Linked DNA regions of Saccharomyces cerevisiae S288C. Changing the gene in region 2 together with the main gene of any one other region gives a genetic interaction. Each region holds a gene or a part of one and is shown on either strand. Other genes may lie near its edges.

Region 1 (5,765 bases), on a different chromosome or scaffold from region 2:
GCCAAGGGAAAGTGACTATACGGTGGGGTATCGCGGGGTAAGGAGACTCAGGTACAAAGGCAAAAATCAAGATAGGCACATAAGAAGGCACGAAACTACCCCACGTTTCAAGTTTTGCTATATCCCTTATTTATTGCGCGCCCTGCAGGAAAATAAGTTTTAGGCACTTAAAAAATAAAGTTCCCGGGGTCAATTTCTGGTAGTGGCAAGCAAAGTATACTGAAGTTGGCAAGCAACACGTAGCCTCTGCATATATCGGCCTTTCTCGGAATGAAATAATCAAAAAAATATTATGCGGGAAGCCGCTGTTTTATTGAGCATTCTAATGCTTTCTTTTTCCCAGCACCTAAACCACACAATACTTTACTCCAGTTCCGTATTTGCCCCTCCCATGGCATCACGCCTATACCTTAACTGTTAATTCTCACCGTCCCCATTATACTAGGTTTAAAAAAGAAGGTGGTCAATCCTGTTGATATCTGTATCTCTATATAACAAAACTTCGGTATAAAACATTCACACTTCGAGTAAAATCAGTACCTATCTTCATGGACCCTCCAAAATGTCAAATTGTTATCAAGCGATTGATAACTCTAATGCACAGGTGTAATACCGTTTTACTACTGTCAAAGAAACTACATATAGTGTGAGAATCCAAAGCTAACATTTTCGAGTAACTTCGGGTTTTAATAGATTATTATCTGAATGCGAAGTTCAACATTTGTTGTTTCCAGCGGCCTTCTTTGTTTCACAATACAGAAACTAATATATATATATATATATATATATATACGCTGCAGTTCATATTTTAGTCTATTTTTTGAATAAAGGTTCCATTTTGTCGGAGAAAAGATTCTTCGACTTTGCTCTAGAAATTAAAAACGATGGAATATTAATCGTCCCAAGTAACGGTAGTGGAAATTGGCCAAACCCTGCATTTGGCCCAAGGGAGACACCACTTGGGGCATGTCCTGTCTCAAGACAATCTGCATCAACGAGACTAGCCTCTGTTCCTTCTTGTAAAGAACTTATAACATTTCGGGTCAAAACATCAACCCAATTATCTCTTTTAACCAATCCGTGATATCTAAAATTCGTTACATCACCAATGGCAAAAACGTTTCCTGCCTCAACAGCTTTTACCCTGAAGTTTTTTTCAACTTGAATGAACCCTTTCTTGTCACAAAGGTCTGAAATACTGTTGACCGGCACATTTGGAGAAATACCAACGCCTCTGTAAATCAAATCAGCATCTATATATTTAGATGAGCCCTCACCTAGAAAAATACGTTTCGGCGAGGTGTCTAAAGAAGCCCCTACTGTGTTCAAGTACAACGTAATACCATTTTTTGAGAGATAGTCTGTCACATTTTTTCTTAGGGTATCGTTGTATAACCCAGAGTCCGGCAGTAGCTTATCGGAATTATGAATAATGGAAATACGCTTTTTGCCAGACCTGATCTCCTCCAAATACTTGAATAACAATTCACCAGCTAGTTCACAATTAACAAAGCCACCGCCAAGAAAAAGTATGTGATCTGCATCTGAGATTCGAGAAGCCTCTCTTTCAAAATACTCTTTATAGTTATCCCCGAAGGTATAAGTTGAACCAATTGGATCAGCCCACTTTGAGCCAGTTGCAAGAACCAAGATATCAAACTTTATGGCCCTGTCTGACCCCAAAACTACCTCCTTATCATCAAAGCTGGCAGCCGTATCTTTGATAACTTCAATACCACTATCAAGAACATTTTTTAACGGCAGGATCGACTTGGTATAATCCTTTGAAACCGTCAAACGGACAGCTGAGGGTAGAAAATACACATAATTAGATGCTGTGACGAGCTTTATTGCGTATGTCCCACCCAGTTCCCTGTACAAGTGATTTGCCACAGACACACCAAACACACCAGCACCAACAACAACTATGTTCTTTGTGTTAATTGTCATATATTTTGCAATTTCTTTCTTCCTTTCTCTGCTCTTTCCTGTAAATAATGAAGAACAACGATGAGGAAATGTGTGTCTATCAATGATTTATCACTGCTTTCGTTTCTAGTCTGCAGCAGCTAATATATTAATACTTATAATAGGCTTCATTTGTCCAGCCAGATAAAAAGGACTAATCATGCAGGGTGGACATTCAATTAATTTTTATCGCTTTTTAACGATTACTAATCCAGTATTACCAACTACAATCACTCAGTCATGTATCACTAATAACGAAAAGTAAGCTGTACAATGCTCATCTTCCTAGCACTACTAGTACTGCTACTATGAGACACCATTGAAGTCTTCTTCAAGACCCCCATTATGAGAACACTTGGCTCACTATACAATCGGCGGGAGATGGGTTGTTATTATAGAGAGTTTCAGGAAAAGCACTCCTAGATTCTAGTCAAGTACTGCCTATTGTATAAGAGACGAGGGCACGAGATAGCGCAGTATTTTATGATGAAAATATGAAAATAAATACTTAACTCATTGAGTAAGCTTAGCTGGGCAACTTAACTAACAGTCAAAAAAAAAAAAAAAAAAAAAAAACAAGAGCCAGCAAACTGACATTAACATTGATCAATAAAATAAGAAAAAATGTACCAGAGAATTCGATTATGAACTGATGACAATATCATTAAAGACTTTGCACAGTATTCAAAAACTAATCGAGAGCTTTGACCAAAAAGTGTCCCGACTTTATAATGAGACCGCCGCTTAATTCATAGGAGTTATATGGTATGCTTTGGAAAGCTATTACATTGTTTGATAATTCAAAAATAAGCCACAATACTTCACCTATTGTGTACCATGTATTATAAAACATCGCAGCTCGTATCTGTAAACATACATTGACTTACATTTTAGTGATAACTTGGGTACTTGAGTGAAGTCCATTTCTCCCGTGCTTCCGGAACATAAACCAACATAGATTCTCTTTCACTCGAAACTGCTCGAAGCTGTTGCTCTTTTTTTGATCGTGGCTTTAACTATAAAACTCAACAGCTGCGTGATGAACGCGCTGTCAACAAATTTCATCTTGCGAATTATATAAAAAACACTGCGAGTGATTAAACCTCAGTAAACTTGTTACGTACCTCATAACATTAATGTGAAATACACTATATTGAATATGGGGGAAGAGATTAGACTTTTGTCCTCTAAAGGTCTTGAGACCCATAGTAGCTTTTGTTTGCCCGAGGATATTTTCAGAAACCGTTTAACATGGTTGTGCAGTGAGATTCGCAACTCAGGATTTTGGATCTGGTCGCTATCATGGTTACCGCTTGCCGTTTGGTGGGGGATGGCCAGTACTTGGTTTTATCCCCTTCTGACTTCAGTAGTTCTAATCCTGGCGCTAATTGCTATTTTGCCAGTAGTTCAAATACAGTACAGTAAATATACTTTATCAAATCAACTCACCCAGCTTTCTAAAGAAATCATCAAAAGTGCACCAGGTGCATACTCTGCTGATTGGGACGCTGTTGCAATACATTTCAATTCCTACTTGTATGAAAACAAAGCATGGAAAACTGCACATTTTTTTTTTAATGGTACTGACTGCCAAGAAGCATTCAGGAAAACCATTCTAGAGCCAGCTGTTTTGAGGAGACAAAACGAAGATCCTAGGTTCAGTTCAATTGAGATTTTGGTCCCTTACACCGAAGACGCGGTGCAGGTTTATTTTACAAAAGTAAACGCACAGTGGAGGTTGATCCATGGTAAGAAGGAATGCAAACTTACTATGTTGGAAAATGTCAAGCTTCCTAAGGAAACCTATCGCTGCAAGCTAGCATGGAGTTGCCAGAGAATCAGGATTTCTTTCTCTCCACTAGACTTCCTTCCTGATATGTCTGACTTCTTTATTTGTGCAAATTTATCACCAGCATGCTTGGTATCTTATTGGCTAATAGACATTTTCTTTAGAATGATAGATGATTTTCAAAACATAAGGCCTAAATCGATGAAAGTTGATGATAAAATGCAGTACCTATCAGATATTATAAACGAGCAGGGTGCTAGCCCTGAAAAATGGGATACAATTGCAAGGAAAACGAATACACGATTATTTGAAAAGAGGGTCTGGAAAAACGAAGAGTTTTTCTTTGATGGGACTGATTGTCAGGCATTCTTTGAACGGAACTTTAGTAGCCTTTTGTTCTCAAAAAAATCTGCGTCGCCTAGATCATTAAACGTTGAACTTTGGAAATACATTCAAGAAGCGCAATTGAGCTGTAACTATGAGCCGTTACCATAAAGATAGAAACATTTATTTTGACTTAGAAGCTACAAGGAGGATCAACTATTAATATTTTTCCTAGAGAACATTTTTAAAATTGGATTCAATAAATTAGCGCCATCTATTGCCCTTACACTTTTCTCCTTCATATCTGGCTAGAAAAGGGGGGGTTACATCTCGGAATCAAATATTTTCCTCTGCGTCGAGTTTTAATCCTGCTTCTGGTTACATTCTTTTTTATCATACACGATTCTTTGAACATCAACTTCTCTCAAAACCATCCGCCTTCAGCGGCTACAATTACGTAATTGCACCAAGGCATTCGCGGAGAATTCACGAATTTGCAGACGCCAACAGTATACGACTCCCAACACACGTCTAATATCTTGTACGGATTTCAAGAGATAGAAATATTACTTCCATGGAAGCCGTTTAGAGCAGACTGAATATGGGCTTAGACAATAAGCTTCTGAACGAGGGTCTTAAATCTAAATTCGGATTTTCTTTTTGACCGAAAGCGGAAACTTCGCAGGCGCGCAAAAGGGGTTTTCAAGGCACCTCGGCACCCCTATAATTGGCATTCTCACATTCTGCGCATACGAATACACATGAGTGCCATAAAACAGTACTCCACATACGAAGTCTATCAAAGATGTATGATTCGTTCAAAAACAAGAACATCTTCATAGTGATAATGAGATTGTGTGAAAGATGAGATATGGAGAATATGTGAGGTGCTAAATGAGCATCTGTTAACGAATCGTTTAAGTAGTGATAACAGATGGAGGAACGGGTATAAATAGAGCTGCTTCAACTATATGCCTTTGAGGTATGCGCTTTCATTTCACTATTTCTTGTTAAGATTACATCAGCACTAACAAACAAAACAAATACAATGGTCAAATTAACTTCAATCGCTGCTGGTGTTGCCGCCATCGCTGCTACTGCTTCCGCAACCACCACTCTAGCTCAATCTGACGAAAGAGTCAACTTGGTTGAATTGGGTGTCTACGTCTCTGATATCAGAGCTCACTTGGCCCAATACTACATGTTCCAAGCCGCCCACCCAACTGAAACCTACCCAGTCGAAGTTGCTGAAGCCGTTTTCAACTACGGTGACTTCACCACCATGTTGACTGGTATTGCCCCAGACCAAGTGACCAGAATGATAACCGGTGTCCCATGGTACTCCACCAGATTAAAGCCAGCTATCTCCAAGGCTCTATCCAAGGACGGTATCTACACTATCGCAAACTAGGGAGTGATGCCTTTACGAATGAAAATCCATAGACAGTGAAAAGTAATGAAAAAATAAAATAAAAAACTACTTTTTTTGATGATATAAATACCGTTGATTATATAAATGTATATTAATATTATAGACCTATTTGATCAATGACGGTGTTCGTGAAGTATTTCATGAATACGATAAACATAAGAAAGAAACTTTTACACTATTGTAGAAAAAGCGTGGACGGAAATAAAGCTAACAGAGTATGCCCAATAAACAACAATGAAATTGGAAGCGTAT
Region 2 (6,063 bases):
TAATATCATCATGGAACGCTGTACGGGACGATGTGGGAAGCGACGTCTGAAATCCAGTAATAATAAACAGTGAGCACTTTAGGATAGCAGTAGTTTGCATTTTGCACGTTTCCCTTTCCATGCAATGTTTTTACCTCGTCTCGTTCGGTACAGGACCGAGAGGTTTATAAAAATGGTACCTACCAGGACCTTGCGACGAATCAACCACAGCAGCAGGGATCCAATTCAAAAACAGGTCTTGGCCCTTATCAAAGCAAATGCGAATTTAAATGACAATGACAAGTTGAAAATACGGAAATATTGGTCTGACATGGCGGACTACAAAAGTCTTCGGAAACAAGAAAATAGCTTACTGGAAAGCTCTATATTACACGAGGTCAAGATCGAAGATTTCATCAGTTTCATCAATCGCACAAAAACCTCATCTATGACTACAAGAGGAATTTATAGAAGAGAATGTTTGTACCAATGCAAGAAAAACTTGGATCTAGTCAATCAAGTGGTCTCCCAAGTTTCATCCGTAAGACATCAAAAGCCCTTGACTACGCAATTGGATACTATGCGCTGGTGTGTTGATGATGCCATCGGCACAGGAGACATAGTTATGGCTGCCGACCTTTTCCTGCTGTACTACAGATTATTTACAGATGATAAAAAGCTAGACGAACAATATGCTAAGAAAATAATATCAGTATTAGCGTACCCAAACCCACTGCATGATCATGTTCATCTAGTCAAATATTTACAACTGAACTCTCTGTTCGAAAGTATAACCGGAGGCGGAATAAAGTTAACGAGGTTTCAATTAGAAACTCTTTCTAATAAGGCCCTCGGCTTAAGTAATGAAGCCCCGCAATTATGCAAGGCTATACTGAACAAACTGATGAATATAAACTATTCTTTGACTAACGATTTGAAGCTTCGGGATGATCAAGTGCTGCTTGCGTACAAGTCCATTGATGAAAATTATAGAAGAGGAAATGTTGCAAGTGTGTATTCTATTTGGAACAAAATCAAAGAGCACTATGTTTCCATTTCTGCACATGATTCCAGAATCATTTATAAAGTCTTCAAGATTTGTACCCATAATAGAGCCTATAGATCTATATGTAGCGAAATGTTTTGGCAATTAACTCCAGAGTACTATTGTAATAACCCTTTGATATTACCGGCAATTATTGACTTCATTACAAAGCAAGACTCTTTAACAATGGCCAAGGAACTCATGCAGAACATTAACAGATACACTTTACCCGAAAACCATCATATTGTCTGGCTTAACAAGAGATGTCTTTCTTCATTGCTAAGAATGCATTTGAAATTTAACGATTCTAACGGTGTAGATAGGGTTTTGAAGCAAATAACAACAAATTTCAGGGCGCTTTCGCAAGAAAATTATCAAGCAATAATTATTCACCTTTTCAAAACACAAAACCTCGATCATATCGCTAAGGCAGTCAAATTACTCGATACTATACCCCCCGGACAAGCAATGTTAGCCTATGGGTCAATAATTAACGAAGTAGTTGATTGGAAATTGGCTTCAAAGGTCAAGTTCACCGATAATTTGATGGCACTTGTAAACGATTTGTTGACGAAGGCACATGATTTTGATCCTGACCACAGAAACTCTCTTTGGAATGTGGTTTCCGCTTTATACATTAAAAAACTTTGTCATTATAAAAAGCGAGATGGTAAATTTGTTGCCAATGCCAAGAAGGATATCGATTTGGCAAAACTACTTTATATAAATGCTGCAAAGAGAAGTAAAACATACTGGACAAAATCGAACTGTAACCCATTCATTGCATCCTCCCCATGTGATGTCAAATTAAAAGTGAATAATCAAAACAGGTTTACTATTTTAAGGAATATTGCATTAAGCGCACTGCAGATAGGAAGAACAGACATTTTTCTTTGGGCGTGCGCAGAACTATACCAGAACGGTATGACGATTGAGGAATTGAAGTTAGACTGGAATTTCATCTTAAAACATCAAATTAGAAATTCAGAGTTCAAAACAAACAAGGAGATCATACAAGATATTAAAAAGCATGGTGTGTCGGCTGTCAAACGTTACTTAAGATGAACGGCCAAACGCACATTTACGATATAAATAACAAAGCAAATAATAACAAAACAAATTTCTGTAAATATATACTAAATCCAAGCATTGCATCCTAATTCTTTTCTTTTTTTGATCATCAAATAAATGTATTATTTTATGTTATATGCGTTAGACTTGTTATATTCTTTCATGCTATTCTATCGTTGTGTTATGAATTAATTTATATTTACAGTTTTTCAGTACATTCAATTCCTTTTTTTTGGAGGAGGTAACAATTTCACATCTTTCGATTGTTTGATCGCCGCGTTAGAGAAATCTCTCACTACAATTTGACAATTTACCTCTTTGCATAATGCCTTCTTCTTTGAAGGTGGTACTTTTTGCAGAAGTTCTAGCCCAGTACTTCTCTCTAAAGCATCTATAGGAACTTCAAAGTCAGTCAATTTCGTCTCATTTGATATCGGTTCGTTTGGCAATACAAATGCCGCGACAGCAATATCCTCTCTAGCAGGATTGGCTGTTGGTGCTTCTGCAACAATCAATTTAAAAAAGTGCGTTGGAACAGCAATACTGGGTGGATTGCCAATAACTTCATAATTAACCCTAAATTTATTATCTATGGGATCCTTTTTGGGTAGATACAATGGACCAGTCACGATTCTTACACTCTTATATTTCTTAGTCAATCCCCTACAAAAGTACTCCAAATGCGCCCAATAGTCTCTATTAAAACCTTCTCCTACTTGAGGACACATATTGGATAAGTAGAATGTATCATCCATGGCCTGTTGAGAAAATTTTGCGTCTGCAGCTGGGGCTTGATGGCCTCGATCATAGCCCGACCTAAAATAGTCTCTTAGTTTACCTCTAAACTTTTCTGGAATTACTTCATCTTCCTTGAAAAAGGAATTTTTTCTGTCAGCATTCCTTGCAGCCAATGATTCTGGCGTTATATGTTCGAGGACCCAATAAGGATTTTGAGTTTGTCTGTTGTAACATGAGATAAACTCTTCGCGGTTCTGCAGATCATGAATCGGACCAGGAAAACCATACTTGAAGAACCCGGAAGGATCGACGTTGAAAGAGTGAGATTGAATATTACTATTAGGTTTCTGGGTAGGTGGATAAGGTGTCTCAATGATTTGCGTTGGAGAATGTTTGTTCAAAAGAAGATAGGTTAAGCCAGTACCAGCACCCAGTCCGACTAAACCGGACAAGAGTATCCTACTGCACATGATAACTTTAACTTTGGGATCTAATAAGTGGGGAACTTAACTAAATGTTCTTATCTTTATACAATTGTAACTCTATAAAAACTAACAAATTACTTGATGAGTGACCAATAACCAATTGCACCATTGATATTTTTTCACAGATTTTATTTTTTTTTTCTTTTTTCGCGATGAGTTTTATTTCCGTGCATATGCATCCGACTTGCAATTAGTCGAAAGATTTCAGTTGAAAGGCCTCTTCGACAGAGCCCAAAGACTGCGATTTAACGTATGCCTCCATCACGGAACCTATAATTGCTTTTTGTTGAGGACTTATAGTGCTAGAAATGGCTTCTTTAAATGAATTTTTGTCCAATTTAGCCAAAGCAACTATGCCACTTGCTACTTCGTTGTCTATTTTCTCTGTATATGCGCTATGATATGCGGCAAAGAAAGAAAGACATAAAGCAATTGACAATGATGCCTTTTGGTGATCTTGTTTGATTACTTCCTCGGAAAACTGAATTATCAACTTAGTTTTAATGCTTGCCTGCGATAAGGAATCGTTTGTTTGAATATCTTGAAAGAATCTTTTTATAACCAACTTCATAAAATACTGCAACAACGGGTATTTGAAAATATTAGATATTATTCTCTTGAAGCCTTGTAGAGCAATTGGCTGCGTAGCAGGATTATTCAATGCCTCCGAGAGAATATTTGCGCACTGATTCAGTTCCTGAAAACTTAGCTTAGAGTATCCATTAGACAGCAAGATCAAAATGGTTGCAACTTTATTCTTTGAATCCAGCTTATGATAAATAACATCTTTTATTGACCCGTAGAATATTTCTAGTAACACAATATTTTTTTCGTCCTCAGATTCCGTAAGCGCTTTTACTAGTGCCTTGAAAAGTGGGAGTATGATTGGAATTATTACTTCACGATGACTACATTCATAAATTTTCCCTATGATGAATAAAAGACATGAATAAAGATCTACTTTGAACATATTGTCGAAGTTACTGATATTTGATTCGAACGCAATAAATGTTTTTTTCAACAGACTAATATCTGTGGGAGAGATTTTTATTTCATTATCATCTTCTTCGCTGGTAAGCACGTTATACTTAATAAATGGCAACCTCTCAGAAATAATTGTCATCAGTAGTCGCAGTAGCTCATATAGTTTGTCAATATCTTGTAGAAATGTTTCAGGAGTAGCATTACACTTCGAATACCCAATGATCAAGTCACTGATGATATCAACAAGCAAAAATTCTTCTTTACTGTCGCCTGTAGAAATCAGTCTGTCCATAATCTCAACAACTTCAGTAATAATATCATCCTCAAATATACTTTTTATGCACAGATTGCTCTTCAAAACATTGTGTAAAGCCGGTAAAACTTGCATCTTGACTGAATGATCATCAATATTTTTGACGATAGCCTCCAAACATTGGCTAAATAAAATAAAAAGAAAATACTCTAATTCCTCATCGTTAAGAGATGCCAAAATGACTTGAACGTCTGAATCCAGAGTGCACCCAAGGGCCTCTACGAAATTTAACCAGACCGGTTCATATAACTCAATTTTCGTACTTCTTGGTTCAATGAGACTATTTTCTTTCGAGTCATTCTTTACTTGCACAGTAGAATCATTATCGTTATACTTTATCATCATGTATTCACGTAAAGAAATGATCCATAATGGGACTAAAATGCTCCAATATTTCCTGGTAAAAGAGAAAAGCGCATCATTTGACGACGTGATGGATCTTTGCACTACCTCAGCCCACGCATCCAAAACGGCAAGTTCAATTTTTCTTTTCGCTTTGGGTGTAACGATTATAGCTTCCCCTATCCGTATACCGGAATTAGGATCTTTAAAGTTACCAAGAAGGTCAATTAGTAATTGTGAAATTCTTCCCAATTTATCTGGTGGCATTATATTCGATGCCAACACTTCAGCAGCAACAGTAATAGCAAAGGACATTACAGTAGGTGAGCTTCCTTTACTAAAAGCAGGCATTAATGCGCTAGTTATTTGGGCCTCTTGCTGTTCTAAAATCGACGATCCAGGAACCTGAGGATCTCTCATGGTGGAGTAGTTCTTGAGAACAAAATTCAAAATGTGTAGTCCCGTTAACTTCATGCCTTCATTCCTCACTGTAGATCCACGAAATGATATTTTAATGAGATCTGCAATTTTGTTGCTGAGGGCAAGGAGCAGATTTTCATATTTTTCGGATTCTAAGCACAACATTAATATTAAATTTAAGATAATCTGTCTGCTCTTCCATTGCAGGTTCTCAGAGTCGAGACCACCAGCATCTGTGTCAGTCAGTTGGTTAACATTCGCTATTGATTCTTCTTCTTCGCCTTTAATTTCCTTTTCTGAAGATTTTTTTAGGCCATTTACCTCTAGTAGGGCTGAAACGTCTCTGTTATAGCTTTGGAAGAGTCTTCCTAAACTCATATTAAATATTGAGTATAATTTATCGAACCAATGATTATCTCTTTTGAAAGTATGTAATATCCATTCGGTAAAATAATTCTTGACAGAACCGGAATTTGGAAAAAGTGCGAGATATCTCCAGCTCAAATTTTCCATTTCTTTCATGAAAAATTCCTCCATCTGTAATTTGTACAACAACGTCAATAAATCAAAGTTTTCAAAGGCGCCTTTCAGACTTGAAGTTCGAGAAATGAGTTCATTTGAGCCCGTGAATGTAGTGTCAAAATATGATGAGCCTATTCCAGTCACTATTGAACTTTTAATTATGC
Region 3 (6,650 bases), on a different chromosome or scaffold from region 2:
TTGATAACTCTATCAAACTTTGGGACGGTAGAGATGGTAAGTTTATCTCCACATTTAGAGGGCATGTAGCCAGCGTATACCAGGTTGCGTGGTCATCGGACTGCCGACTACTGGTGTCATGTTCCAAAGATACCACGTTGAAAGTGTGGGATGTAAGAACTAGAAAACTTTCTGTTGACCTCCCTGGTCATAAAGACGAAGTTTATACCGTCGACTGGAGTGTCGACGGTAAAAGAGTGTGTAGTGGTGGGAAAGACAAGATGGTAAGATTGTGGACGCATTGAGTTATGTGCAAAGACAAGTAACATACATGCACATATAAATATTATATAACTGTGATATAGAACTGCATTTTTTTCTTTTTGAATATTAAATATGATGGTGTCGCAAGGTCGATCTATAATGGTCATCGCGTACGAATGGCTTGGTATGAATTTAAAATATGGTACTATAAGCAGTATAGCTCCAGCAAGAAGGAAAACCTTTTGAAAGAAGTGCCCGTTTACCTAAAGCAACTTACTCCAAGGTAGCGTGTGAGCAAAACTATGATCAGTTCGTGTGTTACTAGATGTTTTGGTAGGGGTAAATGCCTTCCAGGGCCTGCCACTGCCTCGATATACCAAACGATAAGATGTATATCCACTAATTCAAATAAAGCTGCTGAGGCGCCAATATTTCCAAAGCTGGAAGACGTGAAGATGCATGAGCTCATAGGAAACAACAATTTTGGTAAAAAGACCTACTACGTGGAGAGAAGCAGGACCGGAAATCTACCGGTGTATTCCGCTTATAAAAATGGAGGTAACAAGATTATCACGGAGATCAGAAAGATTGAAGGAGATGTAATTCAACTAAGAAATGACTTGCAGGAGCAACTGCCTTTCATACCCAAAAAATCATGGTCTGTGGTGATGCAATCGAAAAAAATTATTATCAAGGGCAATGCAGTAGAGGCTGTCAAAAGGGTATTAACCAAGAAATTTTAGGTATCGCTAATGTATAAAAAAATAATTGTCATGTATATATATTAATTAAAATCATAGCCATGTGGTCATCAAGCCATCGAAAAGAAGTTGCTTACTTGTGTCTTAATGAAACCGTATGAGGCTTTTCGTGCATGCCCTTGTAGGCAATGAAACAAAGGCCAAGAACAGTTAAACACATCAAGGCTCTGGAAATTGGGTGGTTTAAATCATAGGCGGTGGTTCCAGTGGAGGTGGTTAAAGGTGTGTAGGCTTTATCGTTACGGAAGATGTTTTCCAAAGTGGAGCCAACAGACACATCGCCATTTCTAAACTTCTCGACTTTTTCTGTGTACGCAGCGTGCAAATCTAAGATGTTACTAATTTTTAAGATTTCTAGAACGAAATACAGGAACCGTAATTCATGCTGAGGCTTTCCATATTCGTCTGTTTCTGTGTATTGAATAGCATCCATTAGTTGATCTAGACCAGAAGTTATTTGACCAAACACGACACTTTTGCCATCCAATTCCTCATTTCCATCGGCTTTAGTGGTGATGATGAATTCCGAGGTGTTAGAATCAGGTCCAAAATAGGCCATTGCGAGTCTTTCAGGCCTGTCATGTTTTAAGTAAAAGTTTTCGTCATCAAATTTGGGCCCATAGACGGTGAAAGGACCCACATCTGGGGCAACCACACCACCCTGGATATACTTGTTAGGGTAAACCTTGTTGATTTTGGTCTTACGGTACGAGTAAGTATGTATATCATTGGGATCTTTCCCTTCGATAACTGCCTTAACACCATGGGCCAGCATAGCAAAGTTGTTCACAGTTTTGGGCACGACAGTACCGTACAACTCAAAAGTCAGATCCGCCTCTTTCATCGACTTCGAAACGGGATCAAAGTATTCGATAGTGATTATTCCACGATGTGTGGCGGGGGGACTGGGCTCATATTTTTTCTGAAGATCAACATCCTTGGAGGTAATCTGCTTCCCTGATGAAGGTGCAGCGTGGACTTGGCAGAGTACTAAGGAGTACAGGCAGAGCAGCAAGGATTTCAACCACATGTTGTTGCTGAACTTATTCGAAAGTCTATCTATTTTCTTCGGTCTTCCAATCTACGAGTGTGTGAGTTTGCTAGAGAGCAATTGAAGCAAAGAATATGTGACCTATTAATTGCACCTGACTGACGCCTTTCACTTTAAAGCAGTATTAATATATCTTCTCGTGTCGTTTAGCTGAACCTTTAAGTTGTCAAAATGATACATTATTTATCAGACAATGGAAGAAAAAAAGGGCGCATAGGCCCTAAAACAACACTAGGGTCATAATAGATGTATGGGTCTTACAACTCGTATTTGGTGCAGAAGCCAAGCCAATTGCGGCCTACACAGGTAGATGAAGAGGTAGTAGTAGCAGTGGTGCGAGTCGTCGTGGTTGGTGCAGCGTGGCTTTTAGTCTTGGTAATGAGCCTCGATGAGGATTCCCAGTCTCTGCTTGGAATAAACTTCCAGTTGTAGCAATCTACGCAGGGCTCTGGTTCAACGCACTTGGCAGCCTGCTCGTATCCAAGGAGAACTTCGTCAATGACTTTGTGGATTCTGTGGTTGAACATGTTTACACTCCAGCCCTTGTCGTTGACCACATCGTAGACACAGACTCTACCAGTGTGGCACGCGGTTTCCATAGCGTAGCCCACCAGTGAGCAACTTGAACTAGCTCCGTTGCATGTACCCATGAAGATTGGGTCTGCGTTGTGACCGAAGTGCCAGATACCCTCCATGTATGAGGGAAGTCCCGGTGGGAATGGTAAGTGAAGTCTTTTTGAAGGTAGTAGCTCTCCAGGGGACTCGAATGCGACCGCAGGCAATCCAAAAGTGCGGCCCAGTAAACTGGCCAATGCGCCTCCCAGTGAGTGGCCTGTGACCCATATGGCCGCATCGGGGTATTCTTTGAGGACGCCTTTGTATATGTCAACGACTGCAGAGTAAAATCTATCCTTACGTCTCAGTTCCTTTTCCAGGCAAGACTCATCGCATATATACGACTTCACATAGCAATCGCACACGGTAGTCCACAGGTAGCTCACTCTTGCACAACAACACGAAAATAACAAATTATCGTTGATCTTGTCGTTTCCAGTTGTCTCATCTTCGCCAGACCCTGGCAAACCCTGAGCGCTGGTTCCCTTTATCGAGAGTACCACGATATTCTCCACTTCATTGTAAAAGACGTGACCACGTATACCATCACCATCCCAACCAAAATCTTCCGGCTCTGTTTCATTCCACGGCTCCGTGACGTTACGCCAGTCTCCCGTTTGCGGTATTCTCACGTAAGCATTAGACGACATTAATGCTAACGACACTACTGTACCTCTATCTGTGATATTGGGTGCCACAATGTCATCATCTATCCACATGGCGTGTTCTTCCTCCTCCGTCATGTATGTTTCTCCGTAAATGTACGACTCTATGAATTCAGGATCTCTTTCCTTCATCCGCTTCATCAATAGCGGCATCCTTCGTAGCTCAAACTCAAAATCGAATGGGTTAGTGGTGGCATATTCGGCATTAGTAGTCCATAGGGGTTCTTGGTCTTCGAAATCCTGTCCTTGAGTTGTGGTTTCTTGATACAGCATTCCAGCGGCAGAAATAACTTCTGGAGTGACCTCCAGCCTCTGGTGTAGCCGATGGTTTGCTCCGACGCCATGCCTGTAGATAGACTTAAGTCTAAAGGTTCCATCAGATTTTTGATCCATGGCACCCCTGGATGAGCTCTTCCCTACCGATAAATAATCCGGTAAAGCAAAGTAGTAAGCAATAAGGCAGAGCACTGTAAGCGTTAGAATGCATCCTAGATGCAAAGGAGAAGCAAATCTCTTTCTTGAAGGGCTTTTATGCAACATTCAATAGAATATTTCCCTTGTTTCCTTTAATTGTAATGCCTAGATCAGTTCTCAATCACGATAACAATTTTCTGAGCAGCGGCGTACTTTCTTTGACTTATCCAAAAGGTTGACACTGATTTGAGTGTCTCAAAAGCCTTTAAATGATAGAAACAAGGCTTTTAGGCTAGTCTTATGTAATAGAGAAAGTTCATCTATATCTACAGATTCTTATTATGTACTGTTGAACAAAGGTGCGGGTAACTGCGATCACACAATCACTTTTTTCCGGAAACGGCTGTCTTCAGCGAACAACAATATAGTAGAGATACTGTATTCAACTGGAAATGCTTTCCCTTTTGCCCTATCATTATTTTCTTTCCGATGTTATGCTTATTATATCTGTGATTGATAAGAGAAAAAAAAAAAAGTGACAGCTATAGAGAAAAAAAAAAACCCTTAGAGAATCCTACCTGGAATATATTTAATGAGCAAGTCTATCTGCTGCACATTGGTCACGACACATGTTAGTGTATATGGCCCAGCCTATGTATTTACGATTTAAATCACCTTGATAATTATTAAACGATATCCAGTTTATTTCGTATTATGTTACATCTGTCAAGCCCTTACTTAGCAATTTTGAGCCCTAGTATTTTTGACCACATTTGTAACTGCCCTATTTTATTATCCTTTTAGCCCTCCTGTCCTTTTTTCTTGGTTGTAGTAATTTTCATTTATATCTCGAGAATTGTACAGTGTAAATGAGAACTGTGAACGCTTCAAGTAACCTACGCTTATAGCTGCTTCGATCGACGGAGGCTGTTTGTCAACAAGCATCACAATTCCCTACGATACGTCCTCTCTTCCTTTTTTTTCTCTCCTTTTAAACTTAGAAAAACTAGCATAATAATGAGTGGCAACTCTGCAAACTATGACGTCGGATATCCGATATATGGTGCTAAATTTATAAATGAAGGCACTCTACTGGTGGCTGGTGGTGGAGGCCAGTTCAATTCCTCGTTTCCAAACAAAATTACAGCTTTAAAGGTGAACTTCCAGAAAAAGAAACACATTAGAAGGTTTCGTGAGATCACATTAGATTCGATTGACGATGCGCCCACTTCATTGGATTGTAATAATAACCTGATTCTAGTTGGTTGCAATGAACTGTTTAATGATTCCTCCATGGAGAACGTTAACCACCACTTGAGGAAGTTTGTGTTTGAACAAGAACATCTAAAATTCGTGGCCAGTATTGATTTCAACAGAACTACAGACCCATCCGTTTTCACTAAGTTTGTTTACATTAATCAAAGGGCCACAGTAGCTGCAATTGCGTCCTCTGAAGTGCCCACTGTGATAAGAATCATTGACCCGCGTAATTTGACGGAAAATTACGAAATTGAAACGGGTAGGGAAGTTAATGATTTGCACTTCGCCCCTAACGGTATTCTTTTGTCATATATCACTTCTAATTCTTTGGAAGTAGCGTCTGTTAGGGACGGAAATTTTGTAGCAAGGAAAACGGATTTTGATAAAAATCTTGTTCTTTCTAATATCAGGTTTCTCAATGACAATACGCTATTAGTGGCAGCATCATTATCGAACTCTGATGGAGTTTCCTTGTTAAAACTAGGTGTGAGTTCCAAAGGTGTTAAAATTTTAAAAACAGCATCCTTCATGTTCGATTTGAATGGAATAACATCGATGGATGTCTCCCCAAATAAGAAGTTCGTTGCATTATCATCTAACGATAACTTGGTTGCCATCGTCAGCGTTGAAAAGCTAAAGCTTGTTCAGTTGGTTCCAAGAGTACATGAATCTACTATAACAAAAGTTACTTTTTCTCCAGATTCTAGATATTTGGCAAGCACTTCTATGGGGAACACGATCAACGTTCTGAAGCTTTCCGGTACATCGTCATCAATTTTACGAAATATTTGGAAATTTTTCTTGAATTTTGTTTTGTTAGTGGTTTTGGCTGGCGCTATTCAACTAGGCTACAAACATAATGTGCACGGCTTTATTTACAAACATGCTCATGATATATATAAGTCGAAATTCAAGGAAAACACTACCATAGACCAAGGATCTTCTTCTTATTTCACTATTAATGACGATTACAGAGGCATTACTGAAAGTGCAGATATCATCAGCGCTACAGATGTTGCTAGCGATATAGAGACTGAATTTTCCTCATTTGACACTAGCACTATGAGAACCACCACAGAAGATGAGCAAAAATTTGTTTGGATATCGTCATCAGCTGATTCACAATTCACTTCTGCAGATATCCCAACATCAGCTTCTTCTTCTTCTTCTTCTTCTTCTTCTTCTTTCTATGAAGAGAGTGTCACTAATGAACCAATTGTGTCTTCACCTACCTCTGAAATTACGAAGCCGCTAGCCTCTCCTACAGAACCGAATATTGTCGAAAAACCATCGCTTCCACTGAATTCAGAGTCGATAGATTTGTTATCCTCATCTTCAAATTCTATCACAGAATATCCTGAGCCGACTCCTGACTTGGAGGAGAAATTGTCCTCGTTAATAGTAGAACAATCAGAAAGCGAAATAACAACAGATAGAGAAAGCGTTTCAAAACTCTTAAGTACTGAATCACCTTCGCTATCACACATGCCGTCTTCATCTTCATCTTCATTATCTCTTTCCTCATCGTTAACAACTAGCCCTACTACAGCATTATCCACAAGTACCGCGACTGCGGTTACCACCACACAAACAAACCCCACCAATGATGCAGCCAACACATCTTTTCTAGACAACTCAAAA
Region 4 (5,031 bases), on a different chromosome or scaffold from region 2:
TTGTATAAGAAGCCTAAGAATGAAAAATATAAGATTGTGGAAAAAATTAAAGGTTCTGATTTGGTTGGTTTGAAGTATGAACCATTGTTCCCATATTTCGCTGAACAGTTCCATGAAACAGCTTTTAGAGTTATTTCAGATGATTATGTTACTAGTGATTCCGGTACTGGTATTGTTCATAACGCTCCCGCTTTCGGTGAAGAGGATAATGCTGCTTGTTTGAAGAACGGCGTCATATCCGAAGATTCAGTGTTACCTAACGCCATTGATGACCTTGGTAGATTCACGAAAGACGTTCCTGATTTTGAGGGTGTTTATGTCAAGGACGCTGATAAGTTGATTATTAAGTACTTAACTAATACTGGAAATTTGTTATTGGCATCCCAAATTCGCCATTCCTATCCATTCTGTTGGAGATCCGATACCCCATTGTTATACCGTTCTGTTCCAGCTTGGTTCGTTCGTGTTAAAAACATTGTCCCTCAAATGTTGGATTCTGTGATGAAATCTCACTGGGTTCCTAACACCATCAAGGAAAAGAGGTTCGCCAACTGGATCGCCAATGCCCGTGACTGGAACGTTTCCAGAAATAGATATTGGGGTACTCCAATTCCTTTATGGGTTTCAGACGATTTTGAGGAGGTCGTCTGTGTTGGTTCTATCAAAGAATTGGAAGAATTGACCGGTGTGCGTAACATCACTGACTTGCATCGTGATGTCATTGACAAATTGACAATTCCATCCAAGCAAGGTAAGGGTGACTTAAAGAGAATTGAAGAAGTTTTTGATTGTTGGTTTGAATCTGGTTCTATGCCTTATGCTTCTCAACATTATCCATTTGAAAACACAGAAAAATTTGACGAAAGAGTTCCAGCTAATTTCATCTCTGAAGGTTTGGATCAAACAAGAGGTTGGTTCTACACGTTAGCTGTCTTAGGTACCCATCTATTTGGCTCTGTTCCATACAAGAACGTCATCGTCTCTGGTATTGTCTTAGCTGCCGATGGTAGAAAGATGTCTAAATCCTTGAAAAATTACCCTGATCCATCCATTGTTCTGAACAAATATGGTGCGGATGCATTAAGATTGTACTTGATAAACTCACCTGTTTTAAAAGCTGAAAGTTTGAAATTCAAAGAAGAGGGTGTTAAGGAGGTTGTTTCAAAGGTCTTACTACCATGGTGGAACTCCTTTAAATTTTTGGACGGTCAAATTGCCTTGTTGAAAAAGATGTCTAACATCGACTTCCAATATGATGATTCTGTGAAAAGTGATAATGTCATGGACAGATGGATTTTAGCTTCTATGCAATCTCTAGTACAATTCATTCACGAAGAAATGGGTCAGTACAAATTATACACTGTCGTTCCAAAACTTTTGAATTTCATTGATGAATTGACAAACTGGTATATTAGATTTAATCGTCGTCGTTTGAAGGGTGAAAACGGTGTTGAGGACTGTTTGAAAGCATTAAATTCTTTATTCGATGCCTTATTCACATTTGTCCGTGCCATGGCTCCATTCACCCCATTTTTGTCAGAAAGCATTTATTTGAGACTGAAGGAATACATCCCAGAAGCTGTCTTAGCAAAATACGGTAAGGACGGAAGATCAGTCCATTTCTTATCTTACCCAGTGGTCAAGAAAGAATACTTTGACGAGGCCATCGAAACTGCAGTTTCTAGAATGCAATCCGTTATCGATTTGGGTAGAAACATTCGTGAAAAGAAAACTATTTCCTTAAAAACTCCATTGAAGACTTTGGTCATCCTTCACAGTGATGAATCATACTTGAAGGATGTAGAAGCCTTGAAAAACTACATTATCGAGGAATTAAATGTTCGTGATGTTGTTATCACCTCCGATGAGGCAAAATATGGTGTTGAGTATAAAGCAGTTGCTGATTGGCCTGTATTGGGTAAGAAGTTGAAAAAAGACGCAAAGAAGGTTAAAGATGCCCTACCATCAGTCACTTCTGAGCAAGTACGGGAATATTTGGAAAGCGGAAAGTTGGAGGTTGCCGGTATTGAACTGGTTAAAGGAGATTTGAATGCTATTAGAGGCTTGCCAGAATCTGCTGTCCAAGCTGGACAAGAAACCAGAACCGACCAAGACGTGTTAATCATCATGGATACAAATATTTACTCTGAACTAAAGAGTGAAGGTCTCGCAAGAGAGCTGGTCAACAGAATCCAAAAATTGAGAAAGAAGTGTGGTTTGGAAGCCACCGACGATGTTTTAGTGGAGTACGAATTAGTTAAAGATACTATCGACTTTGAAGCCATTGTCAAAGAACATTTTGATATGTTAAGCAAGACCTGTAGATCCGACATTGCCAAATATGACGGCTCAAAGACAGACCCAATTGGTGATGAAGAACAATCTATTAATGACACCATTTTCAAATTAAAAGTGTTCAAATTATGAAAACAACTCATATAAATACGTACAAATTTTTCTCTACTCGAAGTGATATAGATGTATATGTGTAAGTTTACGTTTAAGTTAGAGTCATGTAATGCTAACTGTCTCCACCGATAATGTTGTATAATACCCGTGAAATCATAGCACATGATATATCATCACCCGGAGGCCGGTTATTTTCGGCGGCGGCAAAAATATTTGGTATAATTATGGAAATACAAAAAGGGGAACCATTAAAGGTTGAGGAGGGGATTGATAAGAGAATCTAATAATTGTAAAGTTGAGAAAATCATAATAAAATAATTACTAGAGACATGAAGTCTACATTTAAGTCTGAATATCCATTTGAAAAAAGGAAGGCGGAGTCGGAGAGGATTGCTGACAGGTTCAAGAATAGGATACCTGTGATTTGCGAAAAAGCTGAAAAGTCAGATATTCCAGAGATTGATAAGCGTAAATATCTAGTTCCTGCTGACCTTACCGTAGGGCAATTTGTTTATGTTATAAGAAAGAGAATTATGCTACCCCCTGAGAAGGCCATCTTCATTTTTGTCAATGATACTTTGCCACCTACTGCGGCGTTGATGTCTGCCATATATCAAGAACACAAGGATAAGGACGGGTTTTTGTATGTCACTTACTCAGGAGAAAATACATTTGGCAGGTAGTCTTTTATATGAAAAGAAATGAAGCGTTAACATCTAAAATCGAAATTATAGGGACTCATTAGCCATCTATTGTTCCAGTATAAGAATGTTTACATAAAAAATTCGAAAAAAAAAGATAAAATAAGGGAAAAATATATATATATTCATTAAGAAGTTTTGTACACAACGGAGCCAAGATTTCACCAGTATTTGGAGACAAATGTGAGCACGTTATGGTATTTACTTACAGATTACGATCTGTTCAATGCATCAGAAATAGGAAGAAATTCAAAATAAAATAAAAAAAATATTAGGAAGGAGTGAAAAAGCAAATAAGATGATACAGTAAGGTGGAGTTAATGTCTTTCTTCTCCAAAATGTATTCTTGCTAACCAAAAATCTGATTCTCTCTGACCTGTTCGTTTGTCTTATGTATGTAGAATCAATTTCTTACAGAATTTTAAATACTGTATAGTGGAAAAGAATAATAAATAAATACTCGACTATATTTACCTTTATCTTAAGGAAAAGTTCACTCGATATTCTTAACTTTACCGTCTAGTAAGGCCTCTTTATTACATTAAAATATACACGTACATTACCCTGCTATCTATATGTCGAACATGAATTTTTATTCTTTGTAGAAACAAATCCCCAAATTATTGCCGCTGTTCTTAACGTACTTTTCAATTGGATCATTATCAATTTTGTATTCCTTCAAGTGAATGATATCGTTGTAGGAAATAATGTCCCTAAATTTCCTGTCCGATTTGTACCATTCGTGAATTAACCAGGTCATTTCTTTATTAAATACGGAATTATCGGAATCTGATGTCTCGATTAGTTCTTTTAAAATATAGTACATTTTGTTGAAAGAAACACCCGCTGTTATGAATATAGAAACTATCGACCCTGATACAATATGTTCCTTAGGTAGTGTTTCGTAGAAAAAATTACAGACAATGGGAAAGAGTTCGAAAATGGGGAAAATGAATTCAGAATCCTGAACATTTTTACCAATTTTAATCAGTACATTAGACAGTAAGTTGATGAAGTTCATTGAATCTTCTTTCTTTCCGGTATTATTAAATTCCATCCTCAAAGATTGGAATAGCTCATCCCACTTGGCCATAATTACTTCATGGTCCCTAAAATCTGCTATCTTGAAAATGAATAGGGCAATTTCATGGTAACTTAAGGGTACAGCAAAATCATTAAACAGCTCACTTGTGCTCAATATTTTACCATCTAGAGTTTTGATCAGCTCATCTTTAATGGCTGAATCTATTCTTGCGTCTGTATACACGAGCGACAATATATCACCTTGAATACCAGCAACTTCACATGCATCTTGGATCCTACTAGCTAATTGTACAATTCTTTGTTTCTGGCTTAATGGTGACACACTGTTGCAAAAACCATTGGCGCGTGAAAGAAACTCAATTCTTTCAAACAATGTGATGTCAAAATTCGATGTAGCTAAACGGTAAAGAATTTCAGCAGATTCGAAAAATTTAGATCTTCTTGAATAATAGACCCAGAGTATATTAGATATCTTCAATGAACTACCTGCCTTTTCCATTAAATAAGGGAGTATGAATGGAGTTTCAATATCTAATAGTTTTTCCTCTCTGTTCTGAGACACAAGCCAATCATACATATGATAGTGGAATAATCTATCGTTATATTTTAGGGCGGCTTCATAACTTTTTTGTCTCAGTTTCACTTCATCGTCATTCGATATCGAAATTTGGTTTTGAGTTTTTGATGACTGTTTTTTTTCGGCAAGTTCGTCTACTTTTATTAAAGTATCAAAAACTAGGTCATAAACTAAGATACGTTTGTCGTAATATTGTTTCCTATCATCATTTTCTAAAAATCCATTTGCCACATATTGACAAGCTAGTTTGCCTTTGTCCATAGAGTTGGCAATATTCAATAAGAATTCAATAGATTTTGG

The links.
Region 1: of NUC1 (region 2) and AIF1, changing one enhances a phenotype caused by changing the other (phenotypic enhancement), as found in Saccharomyces cerevisiae (one study listed by BioGRID).
Region 3: of NUC1 (region 2) and ATG15, changing one suppresses a phenotype caused by changing the other (phenotypic suppression), as found in Saccharomyces cerevisiae (one study listed by BioGRID).
Region 4: of NUC1 (region 2) and ATG8, changing one suppresses a phenotype caused by changing the other (phenotypic suppression), as found in Saccharomyces cerevisiae (one study listed by BioGRID).

What each region holds. Positions count from the first base shown.
Region 1 is NC_001146.8:776,789-782,553, forward strand, and holds AIF1 (Aif1p), read right to left. Parts: upstream 1,951-5,765; coding exon 814-1,950; downstream 1-813. Other genes in the region: COS10 (Cos10p), read left to right, coding at 3,128-4,252; YNR075C-A (uncharacterized protein), read right to left, coding at 4,723-4,815; seripauperin PAU6, read left to right, coding at 5,130-5,492. UniProt on the Saccharomyces cerevisiae protein: Putative FAD-dependent oxidoreductase involved in the resistance to cercosporin and other singlet oxygen-generating photosensitizers. Translocates from mitochondria to the nucleus under apoptotic conditions, where it degrades DNA and induces apoptosis.
Region 2 is NC_001142.9:37,881-43,943, forward strand, and holds NUC1 (ribonuclease), read right to left. Parts: upstream 3,304-6,063; coding exon 2,314-3,303; downstream 1-2,313. Other genes in the region: CBP1 (Cbp1p), read left to right, coding at 125-2,089; AP-1 complex accessory protein LAA1, read right to left, coding at 3,509-6,063. UniProt on the Saccharomyces cerevisiae protein: This enzyme has both RNase and DNase activity.
Region 3 is NC_001135.5:234,439-241,088, reverse strand, and holds ATG15 (triglyceride lipase ATG15), read right to left. Parts: upstream 3,876-6,650; coding exon 2,313-3,875; downstream 1-2,312. Other genes in the region: RSA4 (Rsa4p), read left to right, coding at 1-284; mitochondrial 54S ribosomal protein mL49 IMG2, read left to right, coding at 546-986; peptidylprolyl isomerase family protein CPR4, read right to left, coding at 1,078-2,034; GTPase-activating protein SED4, read left to right, coding at 4,767-6,650. UniProt on the Saccharomyces cerevisiae protein: Lipase which is essential for lysis of subvacuolar cytoplasm to vacuole targeted bodies and intravacuolar autophagic bodies. Involved in the lysis of intravacuolar multivesicular body (MVB) vesicles.
Region 4 is NC_001134.8:78,439-83,469, reverse strand, and holds ATG8 (ubiquitin-like protein ATG8), read left to right. Parts: upstream 1-2,738; coding exon 2,739-3,092; downstream 3,093-5,031. Other genes in the region: isoleucine--tRNA ligase ILS1, read left to right, coding at 1-2,427; NUP170 (Nup170p), read right to left, coding at 3,703-5,031.